Linked DNA regions of Macaca mulatta. The protein of the gene in region 1 binds, or shares a complex with, the protein of each later gene. Links are inferred from orthologs where the notes say so. Each region holds a gene or a part of one and is shown in the gene's direction. Other genes may lie near its edges.

Region 1 (9,129 bases):
CACTTAGGGAGGCTGAGGCAGGTGGATCACTTGAGGTCAGGAGTTCAAGACCAGCCTGTGCAACATGGTGAAAACCTGTCTCTACTAAAAATACAAAAATTAACTAGGAGTGGTGGCAGGTGCTTGTTTCCCAGCTACTTGGGAGGCTGAGGCAGGAGAATCACTTGAACCCGGGAGGTAGAGGTTGTGGTGAGCCACGACTGCACCATTGCACTGCAGCCTGGGCAACAGAACAGGACTCTGTCTCAAAAAAAAAAAAAAAAAAATCTTTATACCACTGTCAAAGAATGAGGATGAATTAATAAGCATTTGAGGTTCTCTGAACAACTGAAATAAAGCCTATTTGTTCAAGGGGTTGTGGTAAGATTTTAACAGCAGTCCTCAAATTGTCCCCTAATGAACAGGAATACAAAAATAGAGCGTAAGTTCCACCACAGGACCAAAACTGTCACGTAGAGCCTAATGGTAAGACTGTATTGGATATTAGGGACCACAAAGGACTTTGCTGTTTGCCTCATTTGATTTTCATAGCAGCTACGTGGGGAGCATCATCCCCATCTGAGAGCTGAGAACACTCAGGCTTGGTCAGCTGGTGTCTTGCTCGGTGTCAGAACACTCCCAAGCCCAGGCTTTCCCTGACTTTCAACCCATTCCTGCTTCTCTTGTCCGCTAGTGGGACCCCCAGCCAAGGGCTGCCAAGGACCTCTTTCACCACGACCTTTGTTTTCTGCTATTCAGGCACCTGCGGAACTCAAGTCACGCAGGAGCTTTTGTGATTGTGACGGAAGAAGCCATCGCCAAGGGTATCCGGAGGATTGTGGCTGTCACGGGTGCCGAAGCCCAGAAGGTGAGCAGGTCAGGCTGGTTTGTGGCTTATCTGAAGAGGGCAAGAGGAGCCCAGTCTGCGAATCCATAGAGCAAACAGTGCTCTGCATGGCTGCTGCAGTCAGAGTGAAAGTGGAGACTGGGCCATTCCCCCTGCCCCAGTGTCCTACCCCTGCTTGGCAGAAGAAACCTGCCACCACAGAAGATTTCCTAGCTTTCCTGTGTTTAGTCTTAAAATATATGTAAATCTGGCTATCTACCCCCTCTTATCTCCATGTGGAAGAGGGTGTAAGACATAGATTCGCTGTGGCTTCAGGGCCCCCGGCACTGATCCATGTACCCCTAGGGGCGTGCTTAGTTTGAGGCCGTGCAGTAGAGGATGGGTGCTCTGTCATGGGAACTGGTGTGTCTGACTTGTGCTAAAGCCCCAGGGTTAGCCACTTCCTGGGTGATGGGGTTCCTGATTCTCGAGCTTGATCATCCCCAAGTCAGAGTTGGGTACAGCCGTTGCCAGTGGGCCTGTGAGCACTGTGCTCCTTGCTGGGGCCTGATGCTGCCAGTACCTGCTCCCCACAGACACTTTTGGGGTGTGTTGCTGCAGGGCCTACCACTGGGGCAGCCGCTCAGACCCAGGATAGTGAGGCTGACTCAGGCCTCCTACCTGGGGTTGACCGGGTGTCCCCTCCCAGGCCCTCAGGAAAGCAGAGAGCTTGAAGAAATCTCTCTCTGTCATGGAAGCCAAAGTGAAGGCCCAGACTGCTCCAAACAAGGATGTGCAGAGGGAGATCGCTGACCTTGGAGAGGTAGGGGTGGCTTCCCTCCCTCCTCAGGGCCTGACGCATGAGACATGCCCTGGCTTCAGTAAATCTATAGTCAGTCAGTCCCTGGTTCTTGGTGGAATGGGCCTTTGGGCTGACTTCTGTTGTCCTGTAGCCTTGTAGCAGGGACCCCATCGATCCTGGCCTTGGACCCTGGAGGTTCCCTGCTGCCCCCATTGCTGCTAGCAGGAGAGCTCTTCCCAAGCATGTGTGGGCACTGGGGTGGAGGGATTTGGAGAAGGGGAAAAGGCTGCCCCCTGCTTCCAAGCCTGCCTGGCATTTATTTGCATTTTAAGCTGCCAGGAAGCTCATCACAGGCTGTTCCCAGCCTGGTAAGGACTAGGCCTGACTTGGAGCCCAGCTTTCTACTGTTCCTTTCTCTCTAGCCCTCCTTGTTTTACCTGCCGCAGCTGCTCCAGAAGGGACTGGTCTCAAAGCCAGAAGACAGCTTTGTGTTTTTGCTTTCCTTTCCAGGACACTAGTCAGGGAGGACTTGGGTTCAGGTGGGGTGGGCTTGACCCTGACATCCCAGCAAGTTGTGGCCCAGATTCAGATGGTCTTCTGGTTCTCGTTCCAGGCCCTGGCCACTGCAGTCATCCCCCAGTGGCAGAAGGACGAATTGCGGGAGACTCTCAAATCCCTAAAGAAGGTCATGGATGACCTAGACCGAGCCAGCAAAGCCGATGTCCAGAAACGAGTGAGTCCGGGCAGCACCGGTGGCCAGAGTGTTTCCTAGGCAAAGGCCGGCAGGATACAGCCAGGGGTTTGCGGCTTGTGCTTTTGGTCTGAGCTGCTCTTCTGGACTTTTTTCTTGCAGGTGTTAGAGAAGACAAAGCAGCTTATCGACAGCAACCCCAACCAGCCCCTCGTCATCCTGGAGATGGAGAGCGGTGCCTCAGCCAAGGCAACCCAGGGGCCGGGGCCCCCTCCCCTGGGGCACATCAGCCCTTTGGTGGCTGATATGTGACCTCTGTGGCTCTGAGCCAAGTGGTTGCCTAAGGGCCCACTGTCTGGGATTAAGGTTGGGAGGAGCAGCAGCTCCCTGCATGTGGGAGGCACACCTGGGCCAGGGTGTGGGCAGGGCCCTACACTGGGGTCCTCCACCCAGGCCCTGAGGACTACATCTGCTCTGGGAAGGGGTGGGGGTGGGTGGCGGTCCTTCTGAGGGCTGCAACTGCTCACACTAGTGAGGGTCCCTGCTCCAGCACCATGGTCTGAGCCAGGTCCTCCCCACAGGCCCTGAATGAAGCCTTGAAGCTCTTCAAGACACACTCCCCTCAGACGTCTGCCATGCTCTTCACAGTGGACAACGAGGCTGGCAAGATCACTTGCCTGTGTCAAGTCCCTCAGGTCAGAACCACCTTGCACCAGTGGGAAGTGTTGGGTCTTAAGCTTGTTTGCTGAGGCCTGTGTGTGTACAACCTGCATTTAAAAGAGCCTGTCTCCTGCCTGCCTGTTGGTCACCTTTGCCAGTACCTCTTACCCAGGCCTCCTCACTGGTTGCATCTGTCTGGTTGATACTTGGCTTTGCCACTCTGTCCTGTCCTGGCAGGGGCCATGACTGCCCCCTGCACTAGCCGTAAAGTCTGTCTCTGCCTCCAGCAGTATCACCCAGGGCAAAGGAGTGGGTGATGGCTCCTCCCTCAATCCCATTTTCTGTCCTGACTTCCCCCTTCCCTTTCTTTCTTCTAGAATGCAGCCAATCGGGGCTTAAAAGCCAGCGAGTGGGTACAGCAGGTGTCAGGCCTGATGGACGGTAAAGGTGGGGGCAAGGATGTGTCTGCACAGGCCACAGGCAAAAACATTGGCTGCCTGCAGGAGGCGCTGCAGCTGGCCACTTCCTTCGCCCAGCTGCGCCTCGGGGATGTAAAGAACTGAGCGGGGGAGGAGGTGGCTTCTACTGGCTCCATCCGTCCAGCCGGGAGCTCTTGATCTGCTACAAGAACATTTGAATCCTGGGACCTTTTGAGAGCCCCTCCTACCCCGGCTGTACCTGGAATACCCTCACGAGCAGTCCTGTGACTCAGCGCCCCTTATACTTCTGCCCTGAGCCCTCCACGTCAGTGCCATCTGTCGAGAACCACTACCCCCGCATTGCTGTTGATCACCACACTCGCATCTGTAGATAACAGCTTTCCAGCCTGAGCTTTCCGCGTCAGCAAGGACGAATCGTTTTTTGCTGCAGAGAATAAAAGGACCACGTGCAATACTTAATGCTATATGATCTCTATCCCTCTTCCCAGGTGGAGCTCGCTGTTTTGACAGCCCTTGGCCCCTGCTGTCTGTAGAATAAATGCTGTGGCTTATACTGGCTGCTGTAGTGTTCACCTAGTCCAGCCCCAGAACCCTAAATTTTGGGAAAAGCCCCTGGGGTTGCCTCAAACGTTTGTGGAGGTTGAGGCCAAATAGGGTGACATGGAGCAAGGCGTTCATAATTCAGTAGATGGGTGGGGTTAGTGGAAGCAGAGAAGCCTTGGAGCTGCTCTCCCGCTCCCTTCCAGCAGGAGGGATGGATCAGGCAGCCCTGCACAAGTGGGACCAGGGCGCCAGGGACGCCGGCCGTTCTCCCTCCGAGCCTCCAGCAGGCGCTGTAGCGCCGCCCGTCACTCTCCCGACAACCCTCACGCAGGCGCGCGTCTTTAAGCAACGGAAGAACCAGTGGGTGCGGCAGTGCGTTGGGCGGAAGCGGCTCTCACGCCAGGAGCCGCCATGCCCGGGGACCACCGCCGCATCCGCGGCCCTGAAGAGTCGCAGCCGCCGCAGCTGTACGCGGCCGACGAGGAGGAGGCGCCCGCCGCCCGCGACCCAACGCGACTGCGGCCCGTGTATGCGCGCGCCGGGCTGCTGAGCCAGGCCAAAGGCTCGGCCTACCTGGAGGCGGGAGGCACAAAGGTGCTGTGTGCAGTGTCGGGCCCGCGACAGGCCGAGGGAGGCGAGCGCGGCGGCGGCCCGGCCGGATCTGGCGGCGAAGCCCCGGCCGCGCTGCGCGGTCGCCTGCTGTGCGACTTCCGCCGCGCGCCCTTCGCGGGCCGCCGGCGCCGCGCTCCCCCGGGCGGCGGCGAGGAGCGTGAGCTGGCGCTGGCGCTGCAGGAGGCACTGGAGCCGGCCGTGCGCCTGGGCCGCTACCCGCGCGCGCAACTCGAGGTGTCGGCGTTGCTGCTGGAGGACGGCGGCTCGGCCCTGGCCGCCGCGCTCACCGCCGCCGCGCTCGCCCTGGCCGACGCGGGCGTTGAGATGTACGATCTGGTGGTGGGCTGTGGCCTGAGCCTCGCGCCGGGGCCCGCGCCCACTTGGCTGCTGGACCCCACGCGGCTAGAGGAAGAGCGCGCCGCCGCCGGCCTCACCGTGGCGCTCATGCCTGTGCTGAATCAGGTGGCCGGGCTGCTGGGCAGCGGCGAGGGCGGCCTGATCGAGAGCTGGGCGGAGGCCGTACGCCTGGGCCTCGAGGGCTGCCAGCGCCTCTACCCCGTGCTGCAGCAGAGCCTGGTGCGGGCGGCGCGCCGCAGGGGCGCCGCCGCCCAGCCCTGAACTAGAAGCCTGAGCAACGACGGACGCAAGCCGAGGACCGTGCTGCCGCCGTCCCCGAAAAGACCCGCGCCGTCGGCCTCCAGCCTGCGTCGAGATAAGCAGCCGGAGCCCTGGAGAGCACCTGGGTAGGCCCTAGCAGAGCCAAGGCGCCGGACAGCTGTGGTGTTGGAAAGGGTTTTTACAAACCTCGTTAAAGGAACTTTACTTGAGCCGGCTCTTAGCTTCGACCCAGTTGAGGAAACCTGTGAGCGCATCCTGACTCCCAAGTTGGAAACTTTAGCTGGACTTACCTGGAAGCTGGTACCTAGAGCTGCTGTCATTCAGGCCAGCCAGTGACCCCCTCCGATATAACTGGGCGACTTTTCAGAGGATGGACAAGACGACTGTGCCTTCTGTGTCTGAGCCAAAAGAAAGACCCTTTTATATTTGAAAAACGTCTTATGGTGTGGTTCTTCTTGGTCCGGGATTTAAGAGAGCAAGGCTCTTTTGTTCTTGCATCCCAGGTGTCAAGGGTCGCGGCGGCATTGCCTTAAACGGGTTCTGTTCCTTAGGCCCACGTGAACAGGAGAGACGGGCTGAAAAGAGCTCCAGAGCCTGATGGGAGCGCTGTGATTTGGAGAGCAGCTGCACCCACACGAACCAGAGTTAGGGGAACTGCTGAGATACGACGAGAGTAGGGAGAGTTGGCCGGGCGCGGCGGCTCACACCTGTAATCCCAGCACTTTGGGAGGCCAAGGCAGGGAGATCACCTGAGGTCGGAAGTTCGAGATCAGCCTGACCAACATGGAGAAACCCCGTCTCTACTAAAAATACAAAATTAGCCAGCACTAATAATGGTGGCATATGCCTGTAATCTTAGCTACTCGGGAGGCTGAGGCAGGAGAATCGCTTGAACCCGGGAGGTGGAGGTTGCGGTGAGTGGAGATCGCACCATTGCACTCCAGCCTGGGCAACAAGAGCAAGACTCCGTCTCAGGAAAAAAAGTACGGCCCCAGAAGTGCGCTGAGTGCACCTCGTGCCCCAACCTGGCTTGGTGCTGGGTAGCTGAAAAGGGTTTTGCTCTGGGTAGAAGCCATCTGTCCTTGGCCATGTGCAGAATGGCACAACCCGAGCCTCCACGGCTGATGAGAAGTGGCACCCTGGTCCTACAAGGAAGACCCTGAGCAGCACCGCAGAGGGCAGGTGCACTGCTAGGAAGGCCAGGTACAACCTGACTGACTCACCACGAGGTGGGGTCTTTCCTGTGTCGCTACCAGCTCTGCTGGTTTGGGCTCAAGACTGCATGGTAGGAAGCTAGGTGACTGCCATTTGGAAGGCGGCCTGGTCCCCTCTCTGCACTCAGCTTCTCTAGGAAGGGCCGGCCTGGGTCAGCCCAAGGACCAGAATGAGTTTCTGGGGCCACACCCAGAACCCCTGACCAGGAAAAATACAAATTTTATTTTTTCCCTTCTGACATAACGTGTCTTTCTAGAGCAGGTCTGAAATAGTATCACACCAGTGGGGAGAGGACATAATGTAATTCTGAAGTGTGACTTCCTAGAGTAGATGGAGCCCAAAGAGGGCTGTGTGGGGTACACACTGAGAACATTCCAGCAGTTTCAGGGAGATTGGAAACTCAGGGAGAGCTGTTGGCTATCTGTTGACTGGCGGTACATCGGGAGGGGAGTGAAGATCAGCTGTGTCTGCATTCAGACAAGGCTGAGGGTGCCCTCTGAGGGGTGGGGTGGGGGTGGGGGTGGGGGTGGGGGTGGGGGTGGGGTGGGGATGGGCTGTCATCTGCCCCTTGCAAGAGAGCCTCAGCTTCATGAGGATGGCGACCTGGTGCAGTCCCAGGCCACCTCCTAACCGTGTCAGTCCCAGGACCATCATCTCGAAATGCAACCTCTAAAGAAGCTAAACCCACCACTACAGGTTGGCCCTCTGCTTGTCTGGCAAGCCCTGTGTCCACTTCCATTGCCCCAGCTCCAGATCAGGCATCTCAGGTTGCTAAGGTGGCTTTCAAAACCTACGCAAGGCAAGGAGCTGTCTATCCGAGAATGCCAGGAGCTGATGAGGCTGGAGGGGTTCCTGCTGCCTCCTGGCTGGCCTGGTCTTCAGCGTGGTTCTTCACCTGTAGGGAAAACAAAAGCAGGATAGTGGCAGAGGGGCCGGAGGCATGGGAGGCTAGGAAAGGGGGGCCACCTACTCAACATCTAGTCTCCCCCACACCCCGATTTCCATTTCCTCCCCAGAGCTTTAGCAGCTCAGGGCTTCTCTATATTCTACCTAAGACCTAGAAACTCAGAACCACCAGGCTAAAGAAAGCAGTCGTCTACATGTAGCCATTCTTTTCCCAGATATTACAGGTGTGACTCAGGATCTGGGCAGCAGTGAAAGCCCTCCTGAGCCCAGCAGACCGAACACAGAGCTGGGTGGGTAGATGGGGGAGGGCTCCAGCCCCATTGTGGGCCGGGCATGGCCTGCCTCAGACCAGCAAAAGGTGGTGGTTTTGGATGGGCAGGGAATATTCAGGTACTCTAATGCCACACACAAGGCTGTTACCAGTTCCAGGAAGGTTAGTGTGCCACAGCTTCCCCAGGGGGCATGGTCCATGCGGCAGCCAGAAACCCTGCAGCAGCAGGAAGAGCGCAGGAAGGTGGTTTTTTTTTTTTTTTTTTTTTTTTTTCTGAGATGGAGTTTTGCTCTTGTTGCCCAGGCTGGAGTGCAATGGTGCGATCTCAGCTCAGCAACCTCCGCCTCCCGGGTTCAAGCAATTCTCTCAGCCTCCAGAGTAGCTGGGATTACAGGCACGCGCCACCACACCAGGCTAATATATTATTTTTTGAGATGCAGTCTCTGTCACCCAGGCTAGAGCGCAGTGGCACGATCTCGGCTCACTGCAACCTCTGCCTCATGGGTTCAAGTGATTCTCCTGCCTTAGCCTCCCAAGTGGCTGGGATTACAGGCGCTCACCACCGTGCCCAGCTAATTTTTGTATTTTTAGTAGAGACGGAGTTTCACCATCTTGGCCAGGCTGGTCTCAAACTCCTGACCTCGCAATCCACGTGCCTCAGCCTCCCAAAGTGGTGGGATTAATGGTGTGAGCCACCACGCCCAGCCAATTTTTTGTATTTTAAGTAGAGACAGGGTTTCTCCATGTTGGTCAGGCTGGTCTCAAACTCCCAACCTCAGGTGATCCACCTGCCTTGGCCTCCCAAAGTGCTGGGATTACAGGCGTGAGCCCCTGCACCTGGCTGAAACCCGGCTGAAACCCAAGACAAGCTTTCCAGCTGGGTCTCAGACAGGGGTCTGGGGCCATGGGGCACACCTGTGACATTCCCTTTACGGTGCTCCAGCCGTGTCCCCCCACTGCCTTCTGGGAGAAGGTATTTCAGCCTAGAACTGACCCTGGCACAGCTGAGCCCTCCAAGCCCAGGGTTGGGAGGCAGAAAACAGGACAGGGGCCCAGCCTACTGGGCATGACTCTGTGACAGAGGGGACACACCTCCCCCTCCGCACTACCTCGGGCTCCTGTACTTACCAGAGAGGCCCTCCCCCTTGCTCACAGGGAGGCCACAAGGAACCCAACACAAGTACGGTGGAGATGGGGCAGCGGGGCCGGGTCACTCACTGTCCACTCCGTGTCTGTGCCGCCCTCGTAGCCATCTGCCTCTGGACCAGCCTCCTCGCTCCGGGGCTTCTGCGGGGGCTCAGAGCTGCAGGAGGAGCCCTTGCTACCAGGACCCCTGTTTTTTCCACTGTCCTTTGTGGCTGTGCAGAGAAGGTCATCAGTCAATGGCTGGGTTTGGAGGCCCCAGCTGACCCCAGAGAGGCCACTTAATGCCCAGCAATGACCTAGGGCCTCTAAGACTCAAGAGGGCAAGAAACAGATGGGCTGGGACGTGTGGCTCTGTCTCCAGGCGGTTGCTGAGTGGGTGGGGGTGACTCAGAAGCCACAAGAGTCCTTGAGAGTCAAGTA
Region 2 (8,831 bases), on another chromosome or scaffold:
TGCTGGGACTCAATCTCCTTGTGTTCACATTCAGTGAGGGAGTGGGATTAAATGCTGAAGTCCCTTCCAGCTCTCACCCTTATTGATTCTGTAACTATACGGATACAGTCAACGCCCGTATCTGCGGAGGGATTGGTTCCAGTCCTCCCTTCAGATACCAAAATCTATGGATGCTCAAATCTGTTATAAAATGGCATAGGCCGGGCGCGGTGGCTCAAGCCTGTAATCCCAGCACTTTGGGAGGCCGAGACGGGCGGATCACGAGCTCAGGAGATCGAGACCATCCTGGCTAACACGGTGAAACCCCGTCTCTACTACAAAATACAAAAAAACTAGCCGGGCGAGGTGGCAGGCGCCTGTAGTCCCAGCTACTTGGGAGGCTGAGGCAGGAGAATGGCGTAAACCCGGGAGGCGGAGCTTGCAGTGAGCTGAGATCTGGCCACTGCACTGCAGCCTGGGCGACAGAGAGAGACTCCGTCTCAAAAATAAATAAATAAATAAAATAAAATGGCATAGTATTTGCATATAACCTATACATATCCTCCCATATACTTTAAATCATTTCTAGATTACTCATAATACCTAATACAAAGTAAATGCTACACATAAACACTTTTTTTGTTTGTTTTTGAGATGAAGTCTTGCTCTGTTGCCCAGGCTGAAGTACAGTGGCAAGATCTCGGCTCACTGCAACCTCTGTCTCCTGGGTTCAAGCAATTCTCCCTGCCTCTGCCTCCCAAGTAGCTGGGATTACAGGCACCCGTCACCTCCCCCAGCAAATGTTTGTATTTTTAATAGAGACAGGGTTTCACAATGTTGGCAAGGCTGGTCTTAAACTCCTGACCTCAGGTGATCTGCCTGCCTTGGCCTCCCAAAGTGCTGGGATTATAGGCGTAAGCCACCACCCCCGGCTGCCCCCAAGTATTTCCAATCCATGGTTGGTTGAATCTGCGATGTGAAGCTCACAGGTATGAAGGGCAAACTGTATTTGGTAAGTGTAAATGAAATGTTTATAAAGCACTTAGCACAATACTTGGCTCATGGAAGTACTCAAATATTTGTTGAACGAATGACCTGGAGGGATGCAGAAGTGGAAAGCCTGGCCAGATGTCTATCTGTCCTACAAATACCAACAAGGACACTCTTGCCAATGTGATAACTCTAAATAAGTGTCTCCTGCTATCATTCTGTCTGATTAATAAAGAGAGAAATACAAACTGTTATTAAAATCATGGCACTTAGGAGCTAGAAGTCATTTTTGAAAACAAGCCCAACCAGAAATCAGCCCAACCGTGTAAATAGAAAGCTCCTAGATGCACAGATACAGATTTGGGTGAACAAAGTCTGAAGCTAGGGCCTCTCTCCATTAGCTAATGGGGTACAGGGTGCCAGGAAATTGATATATGTAGTAAGTGGGCTGCAACTGAACATACAAACTTTTTTTTTTTTTTTTTTTTGAGACTGAGTTTTGCTCTTGTTGCCCAGGCTGGAGTGCAATGGCACAATCTGGGCTCACCACAACCTCCGCCTCCTGGGTTCAAGCAATTCTCCTGCCTCAGCCTCCTGAGTAGCTGGGATTACAGGCATGCGCCCCCACGCCCGGCTAATTTTGTATTTTTTTAGTACAGACGGGGTTTCTCCATGTAAGTCAGGCTGGTCTCGAACTCCCAACCTCAGGTGATGCGCCTGCCTCAGCCTCCCAAAGTGCTGGGATTACAGGCGGGCCACCGCACCTGGCCCAGACTTTTCATCTCAGGAAATAGAGGTAAAGCAAAATTCAAAAATATGTGTGTAGGGAAGAAGGGGGTAATCTCAGTGAACAGGGGAGGAAACAGAGCAAAGCGCAGCTTTACTACCACCCCAAGCACAAGCCCGAGTACTCTCATCCCTCAGTAACAGTCACAGGCCATAGTGGTCGTCTGCCACCAGACAGGAGGAGATTGCAGGCCACAGCACTTCCCTCTTCCCATGGCTCTAAGTCACCATCTGTTTCCCAAGGGGAAAGTCGACTGAGGGGACAGGGAGGGACAGGCGGCAAAGCCATCAGAAGTCAGGTGAACTGAGATCAAAGTCGTGGGCAATGTCATCTGGACAAGGACGCTGCTCTCGGGATGTTTGCAATCTCAAGTAGGAGATACCAGACATCAATAAAGAGTAGCATTTTATTCACGTGCAGACCTCCCTTCTGGGGTAACACGCTGAGAAGAAAAAGTAGCAACTTTATTTTGGGGCTGCTTATCTTTTGATGACGGGCCCACACAACCAGAGTTCGGCTTTTTCAACCTGAGAAAGCTTACTTAAGTGGGGATGGGAGGCCGCGAAGAGGATCGGACCGCAGGACTGGAAGCTACAGTTAAAAAACCGGGAAAAGGCCGGGCGCGGTGGCTCACTTTGGGAGGAATCACCTGTAATTCCTGCACTTTGGGAGGCTGAGGCGGGCGGCTCAAGAGATCGAGACCATCCTGGCCAACATAGTGAAACCCCGTCTCTACTGAAAATACAAAAATTAGCTGGGCGTGATGGCGCGCGCCTGTAGTCCCAGCTGCGCGGGAGGCTGAGGCAGGAGAATCGCTTGATGCCAGGAGGCGGAGGTTGCAGTGCGCAGAGATCGCGCCACTGCACTCCAGCCTGGCCAAAGAGCGAGACTCCTTTTCAAAAACAAAACAAAACAAAAACCGGGAAAAGGTTTTATTTCTCAATGACAGCCGCGAGGTGAAACTGCGATGGACTGGAAGTCAAAAATCGCGGGTTCCAGTTTGGGCTCTATCTTGAAGATTTTGGACAAGTCAAACCCGGTCTCTGAATCTGAGGTTCCACATCTGTGAAACAGACGAGTTGGGTCGCTTGACCTCCTTCCTTCCTGCTCTGAACGTAACGGTTGCTCGCAAGGTGCGCTCCGGCTGAGGAGGGCGCAGCCCCGCAGGGCAGGGCGAGGAGAGAGCAGGAACCTGGACTCAAGACAAGGCCCCAGGGCATTGCCCGACCCAGAAAAAGGGACTAGGATGGGGAGCAAGGGCCGAGGCTTCGCCCTTACCTGCCGCCTGCCGACTCCCCAGTCAGCCAAACCGAGCCCCGCAGCCTCTGCCGCCGCTCACTGCCACCCTCTCCGACTCGGCGCCCCGGCCGGGCCCGGCTCAATCCAAACCACCATGGCCCGCCGCCTGCAGTGCCACCCAGCGGACCCGGACCTGCCGCCAGCCCATCCTCAACCACACGCGCAGGCGCAAGCATGGAGCGCTGAAGTTCCGCCCCCGGATTTGTCCCGGGGTAACCTGGGAAATGGAGTTTACACGCAAGGATAAAGAACACCAATTGACGCGTATCTTACTGCGGAACTGTGCCTGGGTTTGGCCAATGAGAAATCGATTTCGTTTTCATCCGGCTTTTGGGACAGCGGCAATCATGGCACCACCTGTGAGATACTGTATTCCCGGTAAGTGAGCGCTTCCCGTACAGAGTCCTGGATAGGGGCCGAAGCAAGAAGCCTGGACGGCCTGCAGTTTCTGGGGGCCCATGACCGATGCAGCATTTTTTCTGCAGGCGAACGTCTGTGTAACTTGGAGGAGGGCAGCCCGGGCAGCGGCACCTACACCCGCCACGGCTACATCTTTTCGTCGCTTGCCGGCTGCCTGATGAAGAGCAGCGAGAACGGCGCGGTAAAGGAAGCGGCATGCCGTCTCCTCTCTCTCTGTTTTTCCCTTAGGCTGCCCTTGAGTTCCAGTCCTTAGGCATGGGCACTGCGGACGCGTGTTTAGAGCCTTAGTGGTACAATGTTGGTCTCTTAGTTTCTTCTAGCCGTATCGCCGCTGTTGTGCACTTAGCCACCACACACTAGTTGTGTTGATCTCGCTTGGTTGTGCTGCTGACCCTCGGGGAGGGAGGTTGGGACAAAAGCAGATGCGAACTCAGTAACCTAGCCCAGCTCAGCCCAGCAGTGCGTTGTATACTGTATGAATGTTGCTTACCTCTCCGGCTTACCTCTAGTGCCACTATCTCCACCTCACTGACGCGATCTAATCATACAGTCTTTTCTATTTGTAAAAGTTATAATCACAGTTTTGGCTTGCCCTTTTAAAAAAATTTGTAACACACTAGCTTCTTTCAGTGTCGGTAATGTGCCAAGCTTTCTCCTGCTACAGAGCCTTTGTAACATGCCATCTATCTGGAACGCTTCTGTCTTCTTAGGCCTGTTTAATTCCTACCTCCGTTAGTTTCTGTATTATCACCTCAGAGAAGCCCTTCTGGACCCACTAATTGAGGAAAGGAGTTTTGTGGGATGTTTTGTTTTTGTTTGTTTTGTTAAAGACTTACAAAAAAACTCTGTCCCTTTTCTTCCAAGCACTTATGTCAGCATATGATTAGACACTCAGGTATGTTTCCCACTAGACTTCTCCCTTGCTTAAATCTAAGTTCCACGAAGTGCAGGTGCTACCACCATACCATCAGTATCTAGCACAAAGCAGCTCCTCAATAAATGTTTGTTGAATGCGTAATACCTACTTTTCTAGTTTTAGAGATTGATCCAGGATTAGCTCAGGATCATATAAGCAATATTTGAAGGAGCACAGTAGAAAGAGGATTCAGAATTAGAACCGTTAGGTTCTGGCTAACTTGACCTCGATTCTGCTTTGAGTAAGTAACTTAAGCCGTCTGACTCAAGGGGCTTTCTATTCAGTCATTGTTGGGAATGTCCTTAACAGTCCTGAGTTTGTTCATTTGATAGATACCACTTGAGTATTTTCATGTGTCAGGCACAGCGCTGACTTGGTTTCTGCTATCAAAGGACACAGACACAAATTGTAAACAAATAAATGCTCAAATAAGCATATGGTTACACATGTGGTGGCTGCTTTGAAAGAATATTACAGGGCACCTTAAGAACATGTAACAGGCAAATCCATCCTAGTCAGCAGAAGTGACATTGAAGCTGAATCATCTAAAGAGTAGGTTAGAGTCAGGTGGGTGGAGAGAGTGCAATTCTGGCAAAAAGAATAGGTTGAAGAGAGATCTGAAAGTGGGAAGAATTTAGTAAGTTGGGGAAACTGAAAGAAGGCCAGGAGAGCTGAAGCATTGTAAGCAACGGAGAGATTGTTAAAAGATGAGGCTCAAAATATCTGTCTCATACCAACAGCCAATACCATGCTCAAAGAGAAAACTCTGCAAGTATTCACTTAAAACAAGCGTAGCTACTATTTGTAACATTTCTGTGGAAATTTCAGCCTGTGCAGTAAAATAAGAAACAGAAAGAAGCAGTATAACTTTGGAGGAAAGAGTAAAATTGTCAGCCAGATGTAGTGGCTCACGCCTGTAATCCCAGCACTTTGGGAAGCCAAGGTGGGTTGATCACCTGAGGTCAGGTGTTCGAGACCAGTCTGACCAACATGGTGAAACCCCATCTCTACTAAAAATACAAAAAATTACCCGAGCATGGTGGCAGGCGTCTGTAATCCCAACTACTCGGGAGGCTGAGGCAGGAGAATCACTTGAACCCAGGAGGTGGAGGTTGCAGTGAACCGAGATGGCGCCATTGCACTCCACTCTGGGCAACAAGAGTGAAACTCCATCTCAAAAAAAAACCAAAAAAAGTAAAATTGTCAATGATTATAGGCAATATAGTTGTATACCAAGAAATTCTGAGAGAATCACCAGAAAACTTATTGGAAGTTTAGGGATTTACTACAAAAAAAATTAGCCGGGCGTGGTGGCAGGTGCCTGTAGTCTCAGCTACTTGGGAGGCTGAGGCTGGAGAATGGCATGAACCCGGGAGGTGGAGCTTGCAGTGAGCCGAGAATATGCCACTGCACTCCAGCCTGGGCAACAGAGCAAGACTCCATCTCCAACGACAACAAAAAAAAAGAAGTTTAGAGGTTTACATCTTCTAGCAGCATTCTGTAGCCCCCTGGTCCTCCTATTTCCTAAAATTTCTAAGGCCTTCTGCTCTGGCCTATAAATGAATGCATACTCCAGCTCTCACCTGTGTACCAAGACATTCCTATATTACTCTCAAGACACAAATGCTTTGACCCAAGAGTTAGCCAGGACATTTCAGTTTTTTTCTTTTTCCCTCTGTAGCTTCCTGTGGTGTCTGTAGTAAGAGAAACAGAGTCCCAGTTACTGCCAGATGTCGGAGCTATTGTAACCTGTAAGGTAAGTTTGTCCTAACTTCCATGCTTAGAACGCCCATTCAGTGCTGAAATCATGACCATGCCAGAACTGCAGTGTCCAGTATGATAGCCACAAGCTACATAAATGTATTTCTGGCGGGGCACAATGGCTCACACTGGTAATTCTTACACTTTAAGAGGCCAAGGCAGGCTGGGCGCAGTGGCTCACGCCTATAATCCCAGCGCTTTGGGAGGCCAAGGGGGACTGATCACAAGGTCAGGAGATTGAGACCATCCTGGCTAACACGGTGAAACCCCGTCTCTACTAAAAATACAAAAAAAATGAGCAGGGCATGGTGGCGGGCACCTGTAGTCCCAGCTATGTGGGAGGCTGAGGCAGGAGAATGGCGTGAACCCGGGAGGCGGAGCTTGCAGTGAGCTGAGATCACGCCACTGCACTCTAGCCTGGGCAACAGAGCGAAATTCTGTCTCAAAGGAAAAAAAAAGGCCGGGCGCAGTGGCTCAAGCCTGTAATCCTAGCACTTTGGGAGGCCGAGACGGGCGGATCACGAGGTCAGGAGATCGAGACCATCCTGGCTAACACGGTGAAACCCCGTCTCTACTAAAAATACAAGAAAATTAGCCGGGCGAGGTGGCAGGCGCCTGTAGTCCCAGCTACTCGGGAGGCTGAGGCAGGAGAATGGCGTGAACCCGGTGGGGCGGAGCTTGCAGTGAGCCGAGATCGTGCCACTGCACTCCAGCCTGGGGCACAGAGCAAGACTCCGTCTCAAAAAAAAAAAAAAAAAAAGGAAAAAAAAAAAAAAGAGGCCGAGGCAGGAGGATTGCTTCAACCCAGAGTTCAAGACCAGCCTGGGAAACATAGTGAAACCTCATCTCTACAAAAAGAATCAAAAATTGCTGGGCACTGTGGCTCACGCCTGTAATCCCAGCACTTTGGGAGGCCAAGGTGGGCAGATCACCTGAGGTCAGGAGTTCGAGACCAGCCTGGCCAATCATGGCTAACATGATGAAACCCCATCTCTACTAAAAATACAAAAATTAGCTCAATGTGGTGGCACATGCCTATAATCCCAGCTACTCGGGAGTCTGAGGCAGGAGATTTGCTTGAACCCGGGAGGCCGAGGTTTCAATGAGTCCGCGTCACGGCACTCCAGCCTGGACAACAGAGTGAGACTCTGAAAATTAAATAAATAAATAAATAAATAAATAAATAAATAAATAAAAATAAAAAATTAGCCAGGCATGGTAGCACATGCCTGTGGTCCCAACTACTTGGTAGGCTGAGGCAGGAGGATCGCTTGAACCCAGGGGGTTGAGGCTGCAGTGAGCCATGATCACTGCAGCCTGGGTAACGACAAGACTTGTCTCTCAAAAATAAGGGCTGGGCGCGGTGGCTCACGCCTGTAATCCCAGCACTTTGGGAGGCCGAGACGGGCGGATCATGAGGTCAGGAGATCGAGACTATCCTGGCTAACACGGTGAAACCCCGTCTCTACTAAAAAAATACAAAAAAATTAGCCGGGCGAAGTGGCGGCGCCTGTAGTCCCAGCTACTCAGGAGGCTGAGGCAGGAGAATGGCGGGAACCTGGGAGGCGGAGCTTGCAGTGAGCTGAGATCCGGCTACTGCACTCCAGCCTGGGCGACAGAGCGAGACTCCTTCTCAAAAAAAAAAAAATAATAAAATAAAATAAAATAAAATTGGTTTCCTTAGTCACATTAGCCACATTTCAAGTACTCAGTAGCCACTTGTGGCTAGTGGTTGCTATACTGGTCAGCACATGACTTTTCTGTCACTACATAAAGTTTTACTGGACTGTTCTGGTCTACAGATTTCTAGAATAATAAGGCAGCCAAGGTCAGGCATGCGTAGTTCCTTCACTGAGCTGATTCTCTGAATACAGAGTTTCTACCTGTGTCTGGGAAACAGGGATGCCAGAGGATGATTGGGAAGCCTATTTTTGAACATCTGAAGCTGAGACCTTTTTCTGCAGAGAAGCAAAAGACTTTTATTTTCTGGCATTCCTTGATTTTTTTCCTTTTTAGATTTTTTTTTTTTTTTTTTGAGGCAGGGCCTTGCTCTGTCACCCAGGCTGGAGTGCAGTGGCACGATCTTGGCTCACTGCAGCCTCTGCCTCTTGGGTTCAAGTGATTCTACTGCCTCTGCCTCCCGAGTAGCTGGGGTTATAGGCGTATGCTGCCACGCCTAGCTAATTTTTGTATTTTTAGTACAGATGGGGTTTTACCAGGTTGGCCAGGCTGGTCCCGAACTCCTGACCTCAAGTGATGTGCCCACCTCAGCCTCCCAAAGTGCTGGGATTACAGGCATGAGCCACCGTGTCCAGCCTTTTTTTTTTTTTTTCCAATGTTAGCCATCTATACTTTAAAAAATCTATACTTCTCTGAAGGGCAAGTTGTGAAAAGACTAAAAAAAAAAAAGCTGGGAGTGGTGGCTCACGCCTGTAATCCCACCACTTTCGGAGGCCGAGGCAGGCGGATCACAAGGTCAGGAGATCGAGACCATCCTGGCTAACATGGTGAAACCTCATCTCCACTAAAAAATTAGCCGGGCGTGGCGGCATGTGCCTGTTGTCCCAGCTGCTGGGGAGGCTGAGGCAGGAGAATGGCATGAACTTGGGAGGCAGAGCTTGCAGTGAGCCGAGATCGTGCCACTGTACTCCAGCCTGGGTGACAGAGCAAGACTCTGTC

What was found.
Region 2: EXOSC6 (region 1) and EXOSC1 share a complex: the UniProt entries of both Homo sapiens proteins name them as parts of the RNA exosome core complex. The link is inferred for Macaca mulatta from reciprocal best matches to the Homo sapiens genes EXOSC6 and EXOSC1.

Annotation. Positions count from the first base shown.
Region 1 is NC_133425.1:69,616,803-69,625,931, forward strand, and holds EXOSC6 (exosome complex component MTR3), read left to right. Parts: upstream 1-3,552; 5' UTR 3,553-4,352; coding exon 4,353-5,171; 3' UTR 5,172-6,624; downstream 6,625-9,129. Other genes in the region: AARS1 (alanine--tRNA ligase, cytoplasmic), read left to right, coding at 739-847, 1,515-1,628, 2,221-2,340, 2,461-2,547, 2,880-2,993, 3,336-3,521; uncharacterized protein LOC114674302, read right to left, coding at 7,198-7,281, 8,782-8,921. UniProt on the Homo sapiens protein: Non-catalytic component of the RNA exosome complex which has 3'->5' exoribonuclease activity and participates in a multitude of cellular RNA processing and degradation events.
Region 2 is NC_133414.1:109,492,758-109,501,588, reverse strand, and holds the start of EXOSC1 (exosome complex component CSL4), read left to right. Parts: upstream 1-3,378; 5' UTR 3,379-3,402; coding exon 3,403-3,433; intron 3,434-3,540; coding exon 3,541-3,656; intron 3,657-6,072; coding exon 6,073-6,147; intron 6,148-8,831. UniProt on the Homo sapiens protein: Non-catalytic component of the RNA exosome complex which has 3'->5' exoribonuclease activity and participates in a multitude of cellular RNA processing and degradation events.